2 linked regions of the Sus scrofa genome follow. The protein of the gene in region 2 interacts with the protein of the main gene of each other region in a pairwise test. Links are inferred from orthologs where the notes say so. Each region holds a gene or a part of one and is shown on either strand. Other genes may lie near its edges.

Region 1 (3,518 bases), on a different chromosome or scaffold from region 2:
AAAGCAGTTTTTTTTTTAAAGAAACAGAAAAAAAAAAATCCCTAAAGCCAATATCATCTTTGGATACTGATACAAAATCTCTAAACAAAACATTAGCAGACAGACTCCAATACCACAGTAAGATGATACACAAAACACAAGATGGATTTTGTCCAAGAATCCAAGGTTGGTTCATCCCTTAAAATAACACACTATATTAATAGCTCCCAAAAGAGAAATCATGATCATCTCCACAGATGCTGATAAAGCCTTCAACAAAACTTAACATCCATTTTCCACGCTAAAACAAACAAACTACTCAAGAAAACAGGAGTTGATACATACTTTCTCAGCACGATAAATAATGTATGTACTTGTCTTAAAGCCAGAATCTTACTTTTAACAGGGAAACCCTAAAGGCATTTTTTTTACTAATACAAGAATTAGGGCATCCTTTACGTTATTTAACATTGTAATAGAGCTACCTGCCAATGCAATTAGATAAATCAATTAGGGGTATCAGAACTGGAATTGAAGATGTACAGTATCTTTGTTTGTAAATGATATGATCTTGAACCTGAAAACCCCTAAAGAATCAGTGAGTTTTAAATGGTAGACAAACAGGTACACTTCAATACTGCTGCTTTGAATGGAAACTGATAATATTACTTAAGGATAGGAATTTGGTAGTATCTAGCAAAACCATATATACATGTATTTACCTTTTAATCCAGGACCCCATTTCTATGAATATACTCAAGTTAATTCTCTTGTGATGTGAACATATACACATAAAAGATTATTCATTGCAGTACTGTTTATTTATAAAATTTGAAACAAGCTAAATGCCCATATGTAGGAGGGTAGATGAAAAAAACTATAGTACATTTGCATAATGGAGTATTATATAAAATGAGAAAGATTTCTATGAACTGATATACAGTGATCCCCAAAACTACCTTCTGAGCACTCTACGGTAGCAAACAAGTAGATATGTTATGAATAATAAAAATCAAGAGTTAGGAGTTCCCATCACGGAGCAGCGGAAACTATATCTGACTAGGATCCGTGAGGATGCAGGTTCTATCCCTGGCTTTGCTCACGATGCCGTGAGCTGTGGTGTAGGTCGTGGATGTGGCTCGGATCTGGCACTGCTGTGGCTGTAGCACGTAGGCCAGCAGGCATAGCTCCTCCGATTTGACCCTATAGCCTGGGACCCTCCATATGCCGGGGGTTTGGCCCTAAAAAAAGTAAAAATAAAAATTTGGAAAAGGAAAAAAGTAGAATGAACCCTGTGTGGAGTGGGATTAGAACTGGGGGTATGAATATAGATACACACACATATATACATATATTCATACACAGAAATACATGTACACACATATACATACACGCTCATACATACATTCACAAACATACAACTATAACAGTTTTAGCCTTAAGATTTATAATTAGACCTGAAGAAATAAAATGTCAAAGTTTTCAAAATCTGAATTTAAAAGATATTGGCTATTACATCTATAGCATAGAAAGATATTACTCTAGAAACAACTGTCAGGGAAAAAAGCTTTTAAACAGAGCAGTCGAACTCATCTTTTAATAATAAAGAATTTACTCATATATGTGGCCAAATCATAAAAACAGAAAAACATATTAAACCCAGTGGCAAATTAATGTGCCCAGCTTAGATTATTTTTATATTAGTCAGATAAACATATGATTATCCTTCATAAAAGTTGCAAGTATGCAAGTGGTACTTGTATTTCAAAATGAAACACATCAAAAATCACTGTACCTTACAGTAAAGTCATAGGAGCAAGAAGCCAGCACGGAAGCATAAAATGGTGAAAACTACAAAAAAAAAGTTTACTGTAATTATAACATGCCTCTGCATATGGTCACTCCCATGAACATTATAATACATTCAAGTTCAGTCAGGACTGTTGCTTAAAATTATGCTTTTCCAAACCTTCTATGCTTTAATTAAAGGCAAAAATCATCTAACCTTTTAAGTATCCACTACAGGAAAAACAGTTGTTTTTACATTCTTCAAAGGAAATCATCTCTGAAGCTTTTTAAAGCCTATTTAGACTTAAGTATTCCTAAAATGTTGCTATTCTGGAAAAATTACATACAATTTCATATTGGCTCTCCAAAAATAATTCCTACAAATATGAAGGATTTAAGTATATAATAACACATATACATAATTATCTAATTTACCAGTTTTGTGAATATATATGATTGCTATTAGCACAAGCATCGAGTAAACACTTACATGTTAACAAAATTTTAATAATTTTTATGTTATTTGTATATGACATAACGAAAAGTATATCAAGGTCAAAAACCGAAACGTTAAAGACAAGTAATATACGAGTAATTGACATGTTTTAATAGGCTACTCATTGCAATTTTATTTCTTTAGTGCTTTTCTTAACAGTATTTTAATAGTATATAATTACATTTGAATGTTCTTCATAGTTTGTAAAGAACTTTCACTACATTACCCTATTTCATTCTCAGAAGTATTATGCAATACATATATAAGACTACTAAGACCAGTGTGCCATTAAAAGAAAAAATCAGGGCACTATGGTGCCTATGTTGAGTTGTAATCAGTAAAATTTAAAATATTAACTTAAATACAATTTAAAATTTTTCAAATAGGAATAACATAATTATCTTAATGAAAGCATCAAAAAAGGTGCTTTTTTATCCTTACTGTAGAAAATGAAGAATGAAATTGAGATGTCCCTTAATAAGATTATTTTCCACAGTGACTTAGCAAAATTTACTGGGAAACAAAAAGTCACCTTACAACCTGACAAATTGGGGGGTGGAGAATAGCAGAAAAAATTACTTCAAGCTCTTTTGTTTACAAAGTGGAAAATTTTCTATACCCGAAACTTCTATGAACATTCACAAATATAATCACATTAGGAAAAAGAAAGAATTAACCATCTCTCTGTGTAAGTTTCAACAGAGAGTGTCCCAGTGAATGGGAAATTATAAATAATGTAATACTAAAGGTAAATTACTATAGTTAAAAATATTAAAAAGAACAGTAGAATGGGGATGACAGGATGAGAAAAGCACTTTTATTTAATTCTAAGTACCGCTTGACTATACTGTTCTAATTCATTCAATAATTATTCCAATAATTTACCTTATTTTAGCTTTCAAGGTTCATTATCATCCACTGGATAACAAAAACATACATGAAAAGAATCAGTAACCTCATCCCCTAAACATCTTTAATATTTACATCATTGATTATATTTATATATTATATTTTTGTTCTGTGTATAAAAAGAAAAGATAAAAACTTACTTTCACTCTCCTAATAGCATACGTGTGACCAAGAAGTTCAAATACTGGTTGTCGTACATTTCTCAAGTCCCAGCCTCTCAAACTACAATCAACTGCCCCTGTCACCAACAAATTCTGAAAACAATTCAGGGAAAAGTAAACTGACATCTTTGTAATTAAACAGTACCCAAGCTTTCCTACTAGAAATAGTATCTATTTTCTGTTAC
Region 2 (3,518 bases):
CCAATCCTCATGGCTACTAGTCAGATTCATTTCTGCTGCGTCACAGTGGAAACGCCACAGAATTCCTGCTCTTCTTAACCAAAAATAATTTGCAAAATTATGAGCAGGATTTCTCAATCTTGGCACGACTGATATTTTGGGATGGATAATTCTTTGTTTGGGGGAAGGGGTGACTCTGTGCCTTAGCGCATCCCTGGGCCTCAGGAATGCATCCCTGACCTCTACCCATTAGAAGCCAGCAGCACATATCCTCCTGCATGACAACCAGACATATCTCCAGACAGTGCCAAGTATCCACCACAGCTCTAGGGCCCCAGGAGAAAGGGGCTAGATAAAGTAAAAAATAAAATTAGAAGATTGCAGAGGCAGGGGTGCAGGTGGGCTGTTAAAGAGAAAGAAAACATGAGACGTTCTTGAACCTCAGGAAGGGTGCAGTATCTGAAGAGCTCCTTATCTTCTTGGAAATTTTGGACCTTGGAGACCATTTTCTCACATGGAACATATTCAGATTTGCCAATGGACACATCTCTCATCAGCATCAATCCCAGTGGTTTCACCTCCTCTCTGCAGATTCTTTCAAACTGAACCCTAGAAAATTAAATTGGCAAATGATGTCATCACCGCTGGCCCCAAGCACCTGCATGATCTTGTTTTGTGGAAGGACTCGAAGGTTTGGGGGTGGTTTCTCTGCATTAAGTTGGCCTCCAGCCCCAGACTGAATAGTTCTGATGAAAGGAAGGAGAAAATGGCCAACTTGGAAGGGCCTGCCTCTGGATTGCAAGGCTGGAATTCAGATATTCCTGAGCTTAGCAAACCAGTGGGAAAATACTGGTGATTTGGTTTTATCTGAATAAAACAGCACACACTTCCATAGCACTACTAAGTGTCCAGCCCTGTTCAAAGTACTCTCTCTTTTACCTATTTAGTCCTAAAAAAATATGATATGAGTACATTATTTCCCTCATTTTGCAGATAGAAAACAGTCAGGGGAAGGTGCAGTAAACAGCCCAGGGCATAGAGTGTTAAGTAATAGGACTAAGATTAAAGCCAGCCAGTCTGGGTTGAACCCAGGTTCTGACACCACTTCCCAACAAACCCAATTCCTGAAAAATATCTGAACACACATGAGCTAATCTTATTCATAGTCCCATTATATACGCCTAACACATATTTCTGTAAAACACCAAACAGAGTTACTGTACCTAAAGCGTTCAATATCAGCATCAGATACCAAATTTTTAATGACAAGAAACCCATTTTCTTCATAAAATTGTCTCTGTTCTAGGCTTAGAACATTATTATCCCGAGTATACCTAAAGGAGAAAAGAAATCTCACATAAGTACAATTTAAAAATCACAGCCTAGGAGTTCCCGTTGTGGTTCAGTGGTTAACAAGCCCGACTAGCATCCATGAGGACGCCGGTTCAATCCCTGGCCTCAGTCAGTGGGTTAATGAACCGGCGTTGCCAGGAGCTGTGGTGTAGGTCACAGACTCGGCCCAGATCCCGAGTTGCTGTGGCTGTAGCGTAGGCTGGCAGCTGTAGCTCCAACTGGACCCTAGCCTGGGAGCCTCCATATGTCTCGGGTGCAGCCCTAAAAAGACCTAAATAAATAAATAAAATTTGGGGGAGTGGGGGGATGTGCTTGGGCGGTGGGATGGAAATCCTGTGAAATGGGGTTGTTATGATTATTATACAACTACAGATGTGATAAATTCATTTGAGTGATAAAAAAAAAAATCACAACCTAGGAGTTCCCGTTGTGGCGCAGTGAAAATGAATCCAACTAGGAATCATTAGGTTGCAGGTTCAATCCCTGGCCTTGCCCAGTGGGTTAAGGATCTAGCATTGCCATGAGCTGTGGTATAGGTCACAGACAAGGCTTGGATTCTACGTTGCTGTGGCTGTGGCTAGGCCTGGCAGCTGGAGCTCTGATTCAACCCCTACCTAGCCTGGGAACCTCCATATGCTGGGAGTGTGGCTCTAAAAGGACATAAATAAATAAATAAAAATAAAAATCGCAACCTAACAGTATGTTTCAAGAACGTGAGAGATGTTTATACCCTTCCCCTCAACATTTGTTTCTACAACTTTAAGCATATAATCTGAAAAAATTTTCAAAACTTTAAATCCCAAGCATTAATAACTATTGCCAAAAGATGGAAGTTATATAATTCAGTTATATAATTAATGGAAGTTGAAGTTATATATAACTAGTTAGGTAATTAACTAATTATACTGTATCCACTCAATGGGATCTGACTCAGGCATTGAAAAAAAAAATGAAGGGCAGGAGTTCTTTGGTGGCCTAGTGGTTAAGGATGTGGGGTTGTCATTGTTGTGGCGTGGGTTTGATTCCATGCTCAAGAACTTCCACATAACACAGGTGTGGTGAAAAAATAAATTTAAAAAATAAAAAATAGGATTTCCCATCATGGCTCAGCGGAAACGAATCTGACTATCTGACTATCATCCGTGAGGACGCAGGTTCGATCACTAGCCTTGCTCAGTGGGTTAAGGACCCAGCGTTGCCGTGAGCTGTGGTGTAGGTTGCAGATACGGCTCAGATCTGGCATGACTGTGGCTGTGGTAAGGCCAGTGGCCACAGCTACGACTAATTTAAGTGAGATATACTATGCCTGAATTTTAAAAAATAACATTATATAGTTTCTGACATGTTTCCTCCTTTGAGTTCCCGTTGTGGCTCAGCTGGTTAAGAACCAGATTAGTATCCATGACGACACAGGGTTTGATCCCTGGCCTCGCTCAGTGGGTTAAGTATCCGGTGTTGCCACGAGCTGTGGTGTAGTCTGGCAGCTGTGGCTCCGATTCAACCCCTAGCCCAGGAACTTCCATATGCTGCAGTTGCAGCCCCCCCCCGCAATAAAAAAGGCAAAAAAAAAAAAAAAAACAGGGTCTTCAAAATTTTCCACAATCATTCTAATTAGAACAAGTCCTGGAAATGGAGGATTTGTATAATAAACTCTCATCAGGCAACATGTAGATTATGTCCTAGTTACCACTAGAAAAAAAAAACCTTTATATACATTATATGGTTAAAAATTAAAATTAGATCTACTTACTGGAATTGTTGAGGTTGGAACTTGGCAGCCCCTGAAGTGGGATGAGCTGTCTGGGATGTGAATTAAGGCAATTAAAGTAAAATTTAGGAGTCAGCCTTTTCTAGAAAGTCCACCCTAGACTGGTTTTCCCAAGGGAAGGCTAGACCTAAACAGTGGTGGTGTAAACTAATTACACACATAAGCTCTGATGCACAACTGCGTACTTTGTTTCATTTTCACAATAACTTGATGAAAGTTAGCCCAAGGTTATCTTCCTGCTGCCCAGGGCAGGAACCCTAAGCTGGGGGAGTGCGCTCAGTACCTGGTCCAAGGTCACCCAGCAGAAAACTGTTGAGCCAAGACCTGGCCCATCCTATACCTCATAGCTTCTGTCTATTGTATTCCATACGTCTGTTCTTTCCACTCCACTATAGTGGAAAGGCTCTATTCTAGAAAT

Evidence for each region.
Region 1: the proteins of PHYH (region 2) and PEX7 interact in a two-hybrid assay, tested with the Homo sapiens proteins (2 studies listed by BioGRID, with this or other methods). The link is inferred for Sus scrofa from reciprocal best matches to the Homo sapiens genes PHYH and PEX7.

Annotation. Positions count from the first base shown.
Region 1 is NC_010443.5:27,312,025-27,315,542, forward strand, and holds part of PEX7 (peroxisomal biogenesis factor 7), read right to left. Parts: intron 3,427-3,518; coding exon 3,313-3,426; intron 1,831-3,312; coding exon 1,775-1,830; intron 1-1,774. UniProt on the Homo sapiens protein: Receptor required for the peroxisomal import of proteins containing a C-terminal PTS2-type peroxisomal targeting signal. Specifically binds to cargo proteins containing a PTS2 peroxisomal targeting signal in the cytosol.
Region 2 is NC_010452.4:48,407,293-48,410,810, reverse strand, and holds part of PHYH (phytanoyl-CoA dioxygenase, peroxisomal), read right to left. Parts: intron 3,133-3,518; coding exon 3,083-3,132; intron 1,314-3,082; coding exon 1,203-1,313; intron 589-1,202; coding exon 420-588; intron 1-419. UniProt on the Homo sapiens protein: Catalyzes the 2-hydroxylation of not only racemic phytanoyl-CoA and the isomers of 3-methylhexadecanoyl-CoA, but also a variety of other mono-branched 3-methylacyl-CoA esters (with a chain length of at least seven carbon atoms) and straight-chain acyl-CoA esters (with a chain length longer than four carbon atoms).